Linked DNA regions of Macaca fascicularis. The protein of the gene in region 3 binds, or shares a complex with, the protein of the main gene of each other region. Links are inferred from orthologs where the notes say so. Each region holds a gene or a part of one and is shown on either strand. Other genes may lie near its edges.

The links. Proteins that work in one complex are often made in the same cells at the same time.
Region 1: the proteins of UBA3 (region 3) and UBE2M are in contact, whole or in part, in a crystal structure (PDB 2NVU), measured with the Homo sapiens proteins. The link is inferred for Macaca fascicularis from reciprocal best matches to the Homo sapiens genes UBA3 and UBE2M. Residues at the interface, in NP_003959.3 of Homo sapiens: His53, Pro54, Asp55, Glu61, Ser62, Phe65, Cys70, Gln149, Asn152, Asp153, Thr154, Arg157, Gln158, Phe159, His160, Ile170, Arg173, Trp174, Ser181, Leu182, Leu183, Asn184, Pro192, Ile195, Val196, Pro197, Leu214, Met217, Arg254, Met255; in NP_003960.1 of Homo sapiens: Lys3, Leu4, Phe5, Ser6, Leu7, Lys8, Gln9, Gln10, Lys11, Lys12, Glu15, Lys21, Gly22, Ser23, Ser24, Lys25, Lys26, Ala27, Gln31, Leu32, Gln35, Lys36, Ile38, Asn39, Glu40, Phe51, Ser52, Asp53, Pro54, Asp55.
Region 2: the proteins of UBA3 (region 3) and NAE1 are in contact, whole or in part, in a crystal structure (PDB 3DBR), measured with the Homo sapiens proteins. The link is inferred for Macaca fascicularis from reciprocal best matches to the Homo sapiens genes UBA3 and NAE1. Residues at the interface, in NP_003959.3 of Homo sapiens: Trp34, Glu35, Gly36, Arg37, Trp38, Asn39, His40, Lys43, Phe44, Glu46, Arg47, Ser48, Gly49, Pro50, Phe51, Thr52, Phe56, Glu83, Lys86, Asn87, Leu90, Ser91, Val106, Ser107, Leu109, Asn110, Arg111, Phe113, Leu114, Arg116; in NP_003896.1 of Homo sapiens: Glu10, Gln11, Lys12, Tyr13, Asp14, Arg15, Gln16, Leu17, Arg18, Leu19, Trp20, Asp22, Glu44, Lys47, Asn48, Leu51, Pro52, Gly67, Glu68, Ala70, Gly71, Asn72, Asn73, Phe74, Phe75, Gln77, Arg78, Ile81, Phe92, Glu95.

Annotation. Positions count from the first base shown.
Region 1 is NC_088393.1:66,290,301-66,295,146, reverse strand, and holds UBE2M (NEDD8-conjugating enzyme Ubc12), read left to right. Parts: upstream 1-1,551; 5' UTR 1,552-1,736; coding exon 1,737-1,845; intron 1,846-2,966; coding exon 2,967-3,061; intron 3,062-3,193; coding exon 3,194-3,232; intron 3,233-3,333; coding exon 3,334-3,437; intron 3,438-3,744; coding exon 3,745-3,808; intron 3,809-3,893; coding exon 3,894-4,034; 3' UTR 4,035-4,419; downstream 4,420-4,846.
Region 2 is NC_088394.1:62,843,045-62,848,105, forward strand, and holds the start of NAE1 (NEDD8-activating enzyme E1 regulatory subunit), read right to left. Parts: upstream 3,296-5,061; 5' UTR 3,219-3,295; coding exon 3,166-3,218; intron 1-3,165. UniProt on the Homo sapiens protein: Regulatory subunit of the dimeric UBA3-NAE1 E1 enzyme. E1 activates NEDD8 by first adenylating its C-terminal glycine residue with ATP, thereafter linking this residue to the side chain of the catalytic cysteine, yielding a NEDD8-UBA3 thioester and free AMP.
Region 3 is NC_088376.1:132,168,182-132,173,114, reverse strand, and holds the start of UBA3 (NEDD8-activating enzyme E1 catalytic subunit), read left to right. Parts: upstream 1-1,864; 5' UTR 1,865-1,874; coding exon 1,875-1,894; intron 1,895-2,072; coding exon 2,073-2,114; intron 2,115-4,308; coding exon 4,309-4,429; intron 4,430-4,933. UniProt on the Homo sapiens protein: Catalytic subunit of the dimeric UBA3-NAE1 E1 enzyme. E1 activates NEDD8 by first adenylating its C-terminal glycine residue with ATP, thereafter linking this residue to the side chain of the catalytic cysteine, yielding a NEDD8-UBA3 thioester and free AMP.

The DNA.
Region 1 (4,846 bases), on a different chromosome or scaffold from region 3:
GTCCTTCACACAGCCCCTCTCCCCCACCCCTCCAATGGATGACTTGGGTGCAGGTAACACAGGGTGAAAGGCAGTTTCAAAGAAGTGGTCTGTGTGCAGCAGGGTACAGCTTGAGCCTTAAACCCCACTGAAGGTCTCGCTCTGGGCACGTGTCAGGCTAGTCTTGGCCTGGGCATTTCCAGTAACAGAGACTTGAAGTTTGTGTGTCCAAGCTTCTTTCGGGGTGCAGCCGGACTTCCCCCTGCTGCTTCAAGTCACCCTAACCCCCAAGACTAGGGGCCTGGCCTCGGGGGAAGCAGACAAGCCAGCCTTGGCCAGAGGCCACTCCTGGGGGAGGATCTGCAGAATCAGAGGAGTGGCGCCTGGGGCCCTCCGCAGGGAAAGGCCACCACACCACGCGCTCACGGGGCCGGTAGTTTCCGTGGTGACGGCCGGAAGTCGCAGACCCGCAGAGTTCTGTTTCCTCCCGCCCTCCGAGGCACGCTGAGCTGTGATTGGATGGGAAGTTGACCCCGCCTCCATCCCCTTTTCCAGCTAGCAGGGGAAGCGCAGAGACTCCAGTGCGTCTCCGCTGGCACTCGGGGCCCATGCCAATAGCGCCCACGCTCCGCCCGCACGTCACGTTCCCCAAGTGTCCACCCCGACAGGTCTTCCCCTACACCACTGTAACCCTCCATAGTGCTTACCACTCTCTGGCACAATACATGTTTTGTTAGTTTACCTCAATCAGAATCTCCAGGAACGGGGATCTTTGGGTTTGCGATAGGACAGTGAGGGTGCTCGACCTCGCACCCTCTGGGTAACGCCTCTAGTCTCACTCAGGGTCTTGCCGCGATCACCCTGCCTTGTCTGTGACCTATGGGGTCAAAGGCAGGCCGTGTGGGTGGCGGCAGCAGCGGAGACGACCACCCACGCCGCGCTCTGCACATACACAACACAGGATGAAGTGACCGCGAGCAAAGTGGCCCGTGTCTGCCCCACTAAAAGATGGCGGCTAACCCCGCTTCCTGCCCGGCCCCGCGAGAGTCGCCGGAAGTGACCCGCAGGGCCGCCGAAGCGTCATCTCCATGAACGGAAATACCCGAGTCCAGCCGAAGGAGGCCGAACCCCAAACTCCATCGCTGAGCAACGCGGGTTTGCGGCGGCTGCGCAGGCGCACAACGCAGGCCGGGCGGGAAGAGCCAAAGCGGGCAGGCGGCGGAAATATCCGAAGCCGCGGGGCGCCCGAGGCCGTTGCAGACCTCCGCGCTAAAGCCGCTGCTGCCGCGGAAGACGATCCTCCAATACCCACCCGCCGTCACCGCGGCTGCCGCGTCCTCCTTCCACCCCTAGCCGCAGCCCCTTCGCGGAGGGATCAGCTGAGCGGCAAACGGCACGGTCCGGGGAGCCCCGAGTCCGCAGCTGCAGCGGGGCCTGAGACCAGAGTGGGCGAGGGCAAGGAAGGAGCGGCCCGGGGCAGTGGGGGCGGGGCCGGGCAGGCCCGAGAACAGCCGAATTTGGCCGAGAGCTGCCGAGCGAGCCCGAGGCTCTGGGCCAGGCCGGGGCCGGACTACGGGAGCCGAGGCGGGCCGCGCGGTGGGCGCGGAGCGGCGCGGCAGGCCGGGCGGGTGGCGGCAGCAGCGCAGGAGGCCGCAGCGGCGGGTCCGAGGAGCGGAGGCGACGCGGGCGGCGGCGGGGGGCCGGGTGGCCGGGGTCCCGGGCCCCGCGGCGGCGGCAGCGGCGGCGGCGGCGGCAGGATGATCAAGCTGTTCTCGCTGAAGCAGCAGAAGAAGGAGGAGGAGTCGGCGGGCGGCACCAAGGGCAGCAGCAAGAAGGCGTCGGCGGCGCAGCTGCGGATCCAGAAGGGTAGGGGGTCAGGGGATGGGGTTGGAGCTGGAGGTCGGAGGTCAGGGCCTGAGGCAGGGTGATGTTGAGAGTCAGGAGGGGGTAATGCTGTTGCCGAGGGTCAGAGGTGGAGGGCCCCGAGTCGCGGGGGGGGGTCGGAGTTCAGGTCTTGAGGGTTGGGATCATGCAGTCACGGGGCGGGGGTCAGAGATGGGGCCCGGTATGTGGTGGTTTAGGATATTAGGAAGGCCTGGCGTCTGGTACTAGGGACTCGGAATCTCAGAGTCAGGCAGTGGAGTGGAGGAGCTGGGGACTGGAGAGTATGGGGGTTAGACGGGAACTTGGGTTTGGGGTGACAGGCGAAAAAGAGACGGATAGTAGAGGCTAAAGGTTGGGGATATGAGTGGGAGAGGATTTAGTGTATTATGCTGGGGTCTCTGGGAATCTCAGAGTCAAACGGGTAAAGTAAGTTGGAGGATTAGGGACTCGTGGGCCTACCTGAGAGTCACAGCAATTTGGATTTGGGCTTTGGGGTAACAGGTGGAGGAAGGAAGGTTAGTGAGTACCAGGGATTGGAGACAGGGGTGAGGGGAAATTTAGGCTATTGTGCTGTGAACCTCAGAGTCAAAGGAGGTGGGGCAGGGTGGTGGGGGTTGGGGACTTGAGATTGTGGGGGTCAGATGGGAAGCTGGGTCTGAGAGAGAAGAGGAAGGACAGTGAGGACTGAGGGTTGGTGGGGGTGGGCAGGATCTTTGAGTTTGGGTGAACAGGTAGATACTGGAGAGTGGAGGTCATGGATGGGGAGCCTGGAGTTTAGGGCAGTCAGAGGATGTTTGGGAGTGGGGGCATTTGGGAGCTGTGGATACAGAACAGTTGGGGGTTACCCTGGGCCAGGAGTTGAGACACGCATACACAACTAAACATGCATGTTTGGGGTATGATGTGTATCCACAAGAGCCAAGCTAGGGAACAGGGAGAGGGCTGGAGGTGTGGAGCACAGCCCAGGACAGAGGCCTAGGGGTCTAGGAGGAGACCATGGGGGTTCTGCTAACAAACACCTGCCCTAAGTGTCCTGCTGGCTCCCTCTCTCTCTCTCTTCCCCTCCCTCTTTCTGACCCCCACTCTCTGCTGCCCAAACCCAGACATAAACGAGCTGAACCTGCCCAAGACGTGTGATATCAGCTTCTCAGATCCAGACGACCTCCTCAACTTCAAGCTGGTCATCTGTCCTGATGAGGTGAGGGTGCATATGGCTGAATTCCCAGGAGCAGACCAAGGGTGTCCCCACTGAGAGGAGGGAGACATATTCTGCCCATCAGGCCCCACAGGATGGAACCCTAAAATTTTCTTCTCCCCCTTTCCCTCCCAGGGCTTCTACAAGAGTGGGAAGTTTGTGTTCAGTTTTAAGGTGAGTCCCAGGCAGGCAGGGATGGCTCCCTGGACTGAGGAGGCAGCAGCTGAGGCCCTTCCAGGGACCTACCCATCTCTCCTTTCTTTTCCTGGAGCCAGGTGGGCCAGGGGTACCCACATGATCCCCCCAAGGTGAAGTGTGAGACAATGGTCTATCACCCCAACATTGACCTCGAGGGCAACGTCTGCCTCAACATCCTCAGGTGAAGGCACGGGCCCTCTACTGCCCTCCCCAGCCCTGCCTGCCAGGTCCCCCTCATGGTCTTGTGGGCACTACATCAGACTCTGTCCCTTCCCACCCCTTTGTTGTTTGTGATTTCTTCATTTCCCAGTCATCTTCCTCATGGCCTGACCTTGGTTTTCTCCCTGGCCTAGCCTGCTGCACACCCTCCCTCCCAGCCTCTCACATGCTCACTCTCCTATGCCCTGGATCTGACCTGCCCAATACCAGAGGGGCCTCTGGCAGTCTCCCACTCACCAAGCTCTGACCCTGATGCTCTCTGTCCACAGAGAGGACTGGAAGCCAGTCCTTACGATAAACTCCATAATTTATGGCCTGCAGTATCTCTTCTTGGTGAGTAGGAATAGGTGGTTGGGTCTGGGGAGACTGGCCTTCTGTCCCTCTGGCCTGTTGACCCCCCTACCTGTACTGGCCACAGGAGCCCAACCCCGAGGACCCACTGAACAAGGAGGCTGCAGAGGTCCTGCAGAACAACCGGCGGCTGTTTGAGCAGAACGTGCAGCGCTCCATGCGGGGTGGCTACATCGGCTCCACCTACTTCGAGCGCTGCCTGAAATAGGGTTGGCGCATACCCACCCCCGCCACGGCCACAAGCCCTGGCATCCCCTGCAAATATTTATTGGGGGCCATCGGTAGGGGTTTGGGGGGCGGCCCGTGGGGGAATTCCCTGCCTTGGCCTTACCTCCCCTTCCTGCCACTTGCCCCTAGTTATTTTTTTTTTTTTTTTTTTTTACCACCATGTGATTAAGGTCGGCGCTGCCTCCCCCGACCCACTCAGCGATGGGAAATGAATTGGCTTGTCTAGCCCCCCTGCTGGGTGCTTGTTCAGCCCCCACTCTGGGCTGTGGAGTGGGTGGGTAAGGGGCCTGGGTAGCTGGGCCCAGGCAACCCACCCCTCCACCTCTGGAGGTCGCACCAGGCTATTAAAGGGGAATGTTACTGCATGGCCTCTGCTTCTTACTTCTATGGGGTGGGTGGGGCAGCTGAGGTCCATTAGGGCCTGCAAAGCTGGGGTGGTGGAACGTCTGGGCACAGGTGGCATTGCAGCACCCTACAACAGGCTGCCCAGTGCCTGGGGCAGCTCTCGAGTTGGTGGGGATACCAGGCCAGAGCCTGGGGTTGGTTGGGATGAAGCCTACTCTAGGATGAGAAGCGTAGGCAGGATCCAGTGACCTCTGGGTTCCTGGCCAAGAGGGCAGCACAGTGGAAGAAACAAGCCATCTCTAGCTTTGCCCCTTTCTTGTGTGGGTGGGCCCACCGAGGAGGAGGAGCCTCCTGAGGCTCCCTCTATCTGAGGCCTCAGGCAGAAGTCAGGATATCACGGACAAGCTGGGCCCTCAAGTGGAGGTTGGGTGGAAAGCGCCCACCCCG
Region 2 (5,061 bases), on a different chromosome or scaffold from region 3:
GCTTTACCAAGAAAACTGAATTACCATCTGAAAAGCCTCACATCAACTTCTACAGGAGTGCTTTAAAGTATATTACCCAGTGTACATTCTAATAGAATGATTAATGTGCCTTCCCTGTTACCTGATCTAAAGCAGATTACCCCTTGTTATGTAGCCAGTATGTCCTCCAGAGCGTATGTCAAGCAACTGTGTTTTCTGTTTGTTTGTTTTTGATACAGGGTCTTACTATGTTGTCCAGACTGGTCTTGAACTCCTGGGTTCAAGCATTCCTCTCGCCTCAGCCTCTAGAGTTGCTGGGACTACAGGCACAAGCTACTGCACCTGGCTTCATTTGTTTTTGTTTGCTGAGCATCCATCTTTCCACTTCGTAAGGGCCCAGACAGCTGTCAAATGTATGGAGGAATCGTCTAGAAGAACCAGATGGACTGTAAATGCCTGTTTTCTCCATCAAAGTATGGCATGTAGAAGACACCTGAGATACATGGTTGACAGATGCTTGGATCATTGGAGAGTAAATTTAAGAATACTGGTGCATCTTGGCCGGGCGCGGTGGCTCGCACCTGTAATCTCAGCACTTTGGGAGGCCGAGGCAGGCAGATCACCTGAGGTCAGGAGTTTGAGACCAGGCTGGCCTACTAAATATACAAAAATTAGACAGGCGCAGTGGCGCGCACCTGTAATCCCAGCTACTCGGGAGGCTGAGGCATGAGAATCACATGAACGCAGGAGGCAGAGATTGCAGTGAGCCAAGACCACACCACTGCACTCCAGCCTGCGCAACAGAGTGAGACTCCATTTCAAGAAAAAAAATACTGGTGCATCTCAAGCAGGGTGAGACAGTGTGTGTCTGTAATCCCAGCTGCTTGGGAGACTGATGCAGGAGGATCACTCCAGCCCATGAGATCAAGGCTGTGGTGTGCCAATAATCAGACCTGCGAACAGCCACTGCACTCCAGCCTGGGTAACATACTGAGACCCACCTCAAAAATAAAACAAAAAGGATACTGAGGCCAGGCGCTGTGGCTCATGCCTGTAATCCTAGCACTTTGAGAGGCTGAGGCAGGAGGATCACTTGAGTGCAGGGGTTCGAGACCAGCCTGGGCAAACCCCCATCTCTAAAAAAGTTAGCCAAGCATGGTGGCACATGCCTGTAGTCCCAGCTACTGAAGAGGCTGAGGCAGGAGGATCATTGGAGCCCAGGAAATTGAGGCTGCAGTGAACAGTGTTCCTGCCACTGCACTCTAGCCATTGTACTCTAGCCTGGGTCAAAGAGTGAGACCTTGCCCCTGGAGAAAAAAAAAAAAAAAGAATCCTAGTGTGTCTCTAAGTAACATGCTTCAAGAAGAGGCCAAGTGAATCAGTCCTCTCTACTATCTTGCTGGCCCAACTATGGTGAAGTCAGGCGGAGCTTATTGACTGCTGGATTTTGCTTCTAACTGCTTCCCTTTGACACTTCAAAACCAGTTCTCACAATGAAAGGTAAAGTTTGGGACTTAAATGGAATGCCCTCAGCAAAAATCCTCTTTTGTTAGAGTTGCTTAGTAACCTCAACTATCTTCTCAGCTCTGTCATGCACAGTTATACCTGCATTAGAAACACAAGAACTCCAAGAATTTACAAGAAAACCTAAGTTGGTTATAAGGACTGTTACCTTGTTTCTTTTCCTAAAAGCCTGGAAGCAGGATGTAACTGAGTACCTCCAAAAAAGCCAGAAGAGCCTGAGTTTACCTCCTGGCTCAAAGATATGGGGAATTCTGGGCAAGTTACCTAACTTCTCCAAGACTCAGTTTCTCCAACTGTAAGGCACAGGAAATGGCTGCTTTCAAGGGTGCTCTCAGAATTAAGTGCCCAAAGCCTCTAATACAGCACTAGGCTAGTGGCGCAAATAGAAGCTCCAGTCCTTGGGGACATATAACTTCTGTTATCTCAGAGGCTCCAGGAAGGAGGAAAGCCAAGCCGCTTTATCTCCACAGCCTCAAGACATAGAAGACGCTCAATAAACAAGGAATGGGGAGTGCAAGCAGAAAAGGCAAGGGTGGGGAAGTACCCAAGGACCCTTCTGATGACTTAGGCCTGCACTGTCCATTAAGGTAGCTGCTAGCCACATGTACTACTGAGCACAAGCAGCGAGGCTAGTGTTAACTGAGATGTGCTGTTAAGTGTAAAATACAGTATTTCTAAGACAGTTTTGGGGGGGCTTTTTTTGACAGAGTCTCGCTCTGTCACCCAGGCTGGAGTGCAGTGGCACGATCTCGGCTCACTGAAACCTACACCTCCTGGATTCAAGCGATTCTCCAGCCTCAGCTTCCAGAGTAACTAGGATTACAGGCGCGCCCCACCACGCCCAGCTAATTTTTGAATTTTTAAATAGAAACAGGGTTTCACCATGTTGCCCAGGCTGGTATCGAACTCCTGACCTCAGGTGATCCGCCTGCCTCGGCCTCCCAAAGTGCTGATTACAGGCATGAGTCACTGTGCCGGTCCTCTAAGGCAGTTTTAAAAAGGAAAATACCCATGACCAGCTTGGGCAAGGTGGCGAAAACCTCGTTTCTACCCAAAAAAAAAAAAAAAAAAAAAAAAAATTTGAAATAAAAATTTAAGTAAAATATCTCAATAACTTTTTATATTGATAGTGTTGAAACAGTAATGTTTTGGACATATTGGATTAAACGGTATTTAAAAATCAATTTCACCTGTTTCATTTTACCTTTAGTGTGGTTACTAGAAAATTTATAATTACATTTGCGGCTCACATGAGACTAGCATTTTATTTCCATTGGACAGCCCCGGCTGAGAACAAAACCTAACCCTCTGTGCCGCCCTCGCGGCCGGGATGGGGTGCGCTCCGGGCCTCCCCATTCGGAAAACGAGGAGCCCGGGCGCAGCGAGGCGGAGCTGGCAGCCGCCTTAGCGACCCGGCTGGCGCTGGGGACCGCGGCCCCCCGAACCGCACACCGCGTGGCGGGGGAAAGGGTCCCAGCCTTCGCGGAGGACCTCTGGCCCAGGGTGGGAGCCCCGGGCGCCGGCTTCCCGCGCCCCGCACAGCCCGGCCCAGCCTGGAAGAAGGCCTGAGGGAGGCCCGACCACGCCGCCCGCGCCCTTAGGCCCGGCCCGGCCGCTGGGAAGCCCGCCGGCCCACCCTCGGCTCGGTGAGCCTCGGCTCACCTCAGCTGCCGGTCGTACTTCTGCTCCTTGAGCAGCTTCCCCGGCTGCGCCATGGCCGCGCCCGCAGCGCGGAGAACAGCGGAGCCCCAGCGGACCGCCGCCACCAGCTCCACAAGCGCGCAGGCGCACTGAGCGCCCCTCAGCCGCTACCGCCCCCTGCGCGCCGCCTGCAGGGGGCGCCTCACTGCACTGCGCACGCGTCGCCGGTACGCCGGGGCGAAGGCGGTCTCGGTACCCGAGGGTCTGGGGCTCTCGAGCCCCGTCGGCCGGAAGAGCAGCCCCGCTAGCTTGCCAGTTCGCCCTCTGTCCGTGCAGTAATTGGGGGAAACTGGGGCCTTGGAATCAGGCATACTTGTATTTTGACCACTTAACTGGTTGTGAGATCTACTCTTTACCTCTCAAATCCTCAGTTTGCTCACCTGTGCAGTGGGGATAAATGGGTCCCAAGTGTCTTTTGACCTTAAATAAGATTTTGAATACAGGAGACCAGACTCCCCCCAAATCTTACATGAATAAAAACTTTCATTATGATAATCATTATTTTTCACCCATTTCTTCCTCTCATGAAAAGCCCACAAGCCTATTTTGGTTTTTTTTGTTTTTTTGGTTTTTTGTTTTGTTTTTTTTTGTTTTTTTGTTTTTGAGACGGAGTCTTGCTGTCTCTCCCAGTCCGGAGTGCAGTGGCGTGATCTCGGCTCACTGCAAGCTCCGCCTCCCGGGTTCACGCCATTCTCCTGCCTCAGCTTCCCGAGTAGCTGGGACTACAGGCGCCCGCCACCACGCCCGGCTAATTTTTTGTATTTTTAGCAAAGACGGGGTTTCACAGTGTTAGCCAGGATGGTCTCGATCTCCTGACCTCGTGATCCGCCCGTCTCGGCCTCCCAAAGTGCTGGGATTACAGGCGTGAGCCACCACGCCCGGCCTACAAGCCTATTTTGAATCAAAGCTAGGGGCTCCCTTCTGCAGATGCAGACAAGTCCAGGGCTCTATTCTTGGAGAGTTTAGTCTCATGAAGGAAGAGAGACAGTAAACAAGCACTTACCAGACAATGTGGCCTTCCTCCAGATAGAGGGAAGCAGGGTGCTCAGGGGTGCACAGAAGAACCTCCCCACTCCCCCTCTCCAAGAATGTTTCATGTGGTGTGGAGATGGAGGAGTGTTTTGTTTTGTTTTGTTTTGTTTGAGACAGGGTCTCGCGCTGTTGCTCAGGCTGGAGTTCAGTGGTGTGATCTCAATTCGCTGCAGCCTCAACCTCCCAGGCAGCAATACTCCCACTTCAGCCTCCCAAGTAGCTGGGACTACAGGCATGCACCACCACACCCAGCTAATTTTGGTACTTTTTTTGTAGAGATGGGGTTTCGCCATGGCCCAGGCTGGTCTCAAACTCCTGGGCTCAAGCGATCTGCCTACCTTGGCCTCCCGATGTGCTGAAATTACAGGCATGAGCCACCATGCGCAGCTGGAAGGATGTTTCAAGCATAAAGAACAGCAGGTGCCATCTCTAGGAAGCCAAGAACGCATAACGAGCTGTAGGTGCTAGAGTAAGTTTGGTCAGGAGAAGGATAGGGAGTGGTTGAGAAGGTTTGAGAGACAGTTGGGACGGGCTGGGTTCTAAGGACTGTGAACCTAGATCCAAGGAGGAATTTAAAGTCCTCCACTTCCTGAAAAGACCCTCCTTTCAGGAAGAGAATGGCTGTCCTGTGGGGATGGGAGGCCAAGGAAGGAGGTTATCCCATGAGGACAATTGGGAGGGGGTGGTGGTGCTGAAGACAAGGTGACCATCTGTGAGGGAGATGAAGACTCCTTCCCCTCTATCTCACAGACCCTACAGGCAACTTGAGGTTAATAACTGCCTGAAATAAGGTGAACATGAGCACAGATCCCCACCCCCAATCCC
Region 3 (4,933 bases):
TAAAAACCATGGCAGATAGTCTAATTGTTTATGATCTGTTCCATTTGAAGTAAAATAAATCTGTTGAAGGTTTTGCTTGCATGTCTCTGTTGCTTTCATTCCTGGCAAGGGCAGATGGCTATTTGTAATCCGTCAATCAGTCTAAGCCAGTGAGAGCGCCTGGTGTCATTTATCAAAATACCACCATGGTGAGTCAGGGTGTTAGTCTCAAAGCAAGCAGATGCAGGGCCAATGCCTTTGCAGACTTCTTCATCTGCTAGCTGTATTCTATCCCTAGGCCTCAGATTCCTCCCCTGTGAAATGGGTGAGACTGGACTAGGTGGCCTTAAGGTGCCTGCTGTTTTTCGCCATCTGAGACAGTTGTAATGCTCACTACCACTAATCAAAGGGTATCCAGTATTGTTGGGGGTTCAGACTACAAGAGCCCATTTTGATAAGCACTGAGGTTAAATCCTCAGTGAAACCATCTGTGGAGTTGTCTGGCCAAGAAAAAATGGTTTCATAGTTGATGCTGAGACACGTGATGCAGAAGGAGGCTGGTATCTCTTGATATGGACTGTGAACTCTACTCCCACACTCACTGCCTGGCACTGACTTTCAGCTCAATGAATGCTATTGAACTGAACCTAATTGAGGGACCATAAAGGACAAGCTTTCCTTAAGGTTCACTGAAAACTAGGACAAGAGGAGATTAAATATCACAGTGTAGTAACGGCAGCTACATTTACTGAGTACCCATCAGGCTTTATGTACCCCATTTCAGTGGCTCTCAAACTTTACCAGGGAGAATAACCCCAGGCTTTGCAGAAGGCCAGGGACGGGGGTGGGGAGGAGGGTGGTGGGGGTGGGGGAGGAGGGGGGGCTGAAAATTTGTGTAAAAAAATTCCCCAGTGACGTTGATCAGAAACTGTATTTTCAGAGCCACTCTGGATTTGACTTAATTACCAGTCTCACAAGGTGAATAGTGTTATGCCTACTTTACAAATGAAGAAATAGAAGTGTCTAAGGGTCTCATAGGTCATAACTGCGAAGAATTTAAAATCAGTTACTTTTGATTCCAAATCTCATTCTTGTCCCACTCCATAAAAGGAGATGTGTGTGTATGTATATATATACATTTTTGAACATGATCATTTCCCTCTACCCAGCCATTCAGATTCACAGTGTATATTTGTATTTCTGACTCTAGAAGAAAATAATTGAAACTTTTATTTTTTGATTTTTGTGATTGTTTTCCTTTATACTTTTTTCTTTGTATCTAAATATACACATTTGTCTCAGGAAAAAAGTTTTTAAAAGTCATTTCGTTTCCGCTGAACTTATCAAACAGAATGTGACATGAAAATATTAATGCTGATTTGTACAAAGAAAATAATCTCCCACCCTACCACTGTAAACTGATTTAGATAAATTTATTATTCAAGTGAGTACTTATAAAGGCAAAGACTTTGGAACCATCCTGAAAAGCAGAAAGTGAAAATTTTCCTTGATCTTTGCCCCCGGAGGAAAGCTGTGGCATATTGGGATGGTTCTTCAGGAGTTTTTCATAGAATATACCAATATTTTATATAATTACGTATTAACATATAATTTGTATAAACGCATAATGTGTTATCTACATTTTCACGCTGCAGAGCAACATTATGCACTGTATAAGACTTACCTAATTAAGCGTAGGTAATTAAGATTATAATTACAGGGCAAGGCTTTAAAGCCCACGGGAGATCGACAGCAGTCAGCCTCGCCCCTCCCTGCCGGCTCAGTTCCTGGCCTCGCCCCTCCCCGCTTCGCCGGCCCCGCCCCTCCCCACTTTGCCTGTCCCTCTCCTCCCCGCCCCGCCGCGCGGGGGCACCTGGGAAGAGGCGGAGAACAATATGGCGGATGGCGAGGAGCCGTAAGTACCGGGGCTCTGCAGACGCGCAGGGCTGGGCTGGGTTGTGAGAGCGCGGCGGTGGGCGGTTGCCGCCGCCACCCGGGATCCCCTCACCCCCCGCCCCGTCCCCTCGCCCCCCTCCCCTCGCGGCGCCCAGTGTGTAGCGCGATGCTGACCCTTCTTTTATTCTCTCTTTTAGGGAGAAGAAAAGAAGGAGAATAGAGGAGCTGCTGGCTGAGAAGTTAGTGCTGCCGGGAGGCCGGGGCCCTCTCCGGGGACCCCCGCCTCCCCCCACCCCAGGCCTAGGGGACCAGCCGCAGCGGGCCCGGGGGGCTGGGAGGGGGACACCCGGAGCGCAGGCCGCGCGGCCTCATCCCCTGATCCCCGTCCCGCAACCCCGGGGGCCTGGCGGGCCGCTCCCGGTCTCTGCCCGGTGCGGGCATCGGGGCCAGGCTGCACTGCCCCAGCTCTTGCAGGGGCCCTCCGGGGTGCCTGACGTAAAGATTTTGAGGAAGGACCCTTGTGCACTCCTCTTCCTCCATCCCAAATTGTCAGAGCCGTGACCCTGTGAAAAGGCAATCTACCTTAAACACACAGGAAAAGGGCACAAGACCGTTTTGTGACCTTTTGCAAACACTGAGACAGTAGTACTAATTGCAAACTTTTAATGATAACTCTACATGTCAGATATTGTGCTAACCACTCCAGTCATTTTGGCAAAATAATTGACTCTTAAAAGAGGTTGTTGACCTCAAACAGCCTATTTTTCCCACTTACTACACAACCTGTTTCTTATCAGATGCTTAGTTCTATGCTGGTGAGACAGATTTAATCGAAGTGTTTTCTAACCTGGCCAGCGCCACAAAATTTACTCCCCTCCCTGCCTGGGCGGGGAAAAAATACTCTTGCATTGGTTATGGTGAGTTTGTAATTTCCGTGCCAGTTCCCAGTAGCAGTGCTTTGGTCTTTATGTATGTCCCTCAGATAGTTGAATTTCAGCTGCAAGAGGACTGGAATGACAAACTTAATTTCACATTCTTTCCTGCCTTTTATTTCCCTCCCACTTTTACATGAAATCACAAACATTGCTTACCATATCCCATGTACTGTACTGAGTCTGCTATGTGATTCTCTCTCCTCATGGCCGAAATAAGTAGCTATGAACGGCCTACAGATGAGGTTTATGGCTATGAATAATCTGCTCAAGGTCACAGTGCTGTTGATCGTGGAACCCTACACAGCTCAGACATCAAACCTATGGTTTTTATTGCTAGGCAATACTTCTTGGTCCCTTTTGTAAAAATTGGATATTACTAATATATTTGACGGTAGAAACCGTGGGGTTATAGGAAATTAGAAAATTAAAAATAATCACAGCCAAACGTGAATCTTACACGAATTATAAAATAGATGCATTTTGTAGCGGAGTCCCACCTTATTCTGTTGTACGTTCTAAAAGGTTTCTATCTGCCTATCTATATGCCTATCTGTGGCGTAATTGTAACCTAAAACTTTGTGTTTAGTGGCAAGAAAAGCCGCCTCACAGTATTAAGAGATTATTTAATAAATTAGGACCTCTGCTAGGTGCGGTGGCCTCACGCCTGTAATCCCAGCACTTTGGGAGGCCGAGGTGGACGGATTACTTGAGCTCAGGAGTTCCAGACCAGCTTGGGCAACATGGCAAAACCTGTCTGTACTACAAATACAAAAATTAGCTGGGTATGGTGGCACGTACCTGTAGGCCCAGCTACTTGGGAGGCTGAGAAAAGGAGAATCGCTTGAGCCCAGGCGGGCAAGGCTGCAGTGAGCTGCAATCATGCCACTGCACTCCAGCCTGGGCAACACAGTGAGACTCTGTCTCAAAAAAAAAAGAAAAAGAAAAAGAAAAAATAACCTCTATTTCTGAGAAAAGTGTGTGAAAAGTCCTCGCATCAAAATGATTTTTATATTACACCTTTGGAAAGGACACATAAATACTAAATTTGCATCAGACACATAAGCATCAAAATTCTCAAAGTGTGACTTTTTTTCTCTGTTGTATCTCATATTTCCTAATGCAAGTGTGTTGAAGCAACAGATTGAGGAAGTTTGCAGTGATTTTTTTGTAAATACCAAATGTAGAGAAGTCAATTTCTCACACAGACCAATATCCTAAGTTGGACCTTGGATTTCTTTAGGAAACCAAAAACATGTAGACTGATTTATTTCATCCATTGGGTGAAATAAAAATAGAAACATGCAGTTCTTAACTTTAAGTGAATTGTATAATAGGCAAGAAAAAATTTCAAAGCATAAACATAATCACGTTGAATATTTCCCTTTTTATTTGAGCAGGTCTGGTGTGGTTACCTTTTCATTTGGGAATACCATAATAGTTGTAGGTGTTTTTTTTTTCGTACTGATCTTTGCAGCTGAATTTACTGTGTTCTGTGCAGAATGGCTGTTGATGGTGGGTGTGGGGACACTGGAGACTGGGAAGGTCGCTGGAACCATGTAAAGAAGTTCCTCGAGCGATCTGGACCCTTCACACACCCTGATTTCGAACCGAGCACTGAAGTGAGAAACGTTTATTTTTAAATAACTGCTCTAATAGTTTAATGTTTCAAAACTAATAGAATGCTTCCTTTTTAATTTGCTCTTACAATGAAAATACTAATAAAATTGTTTTGTGAAACTAAATTTTTCTTAAAATATGAAATTGAATATTCACAGCTGATTTTGTTTGAATGACTATTTGAGTCATCACATTTCTCATGTAATATAAGTTGAAAGTTTTCGTGAGAAAAATAACGTTATGACCTCATGTAAAAATTTAAAATTTCAGTTTAAAATGCTTTCTGAAACATACTCCCCTTTTGTAGTGCTACTGTGAGAAATTAATTTTGATAGGAATATAGATGTGCTTATTTAAATTTTGGAATTGAATTGGAATGAACATCTTAGCTTTGAGTATAATTAATTGCATGTTAAGAATTATGTGAGTACTAAATAATAGAGGCATAGAATTTTGGACTGATAGTGTCTTAAGGCAAGTGTTCAGTTATATGTGACTTATTTTTT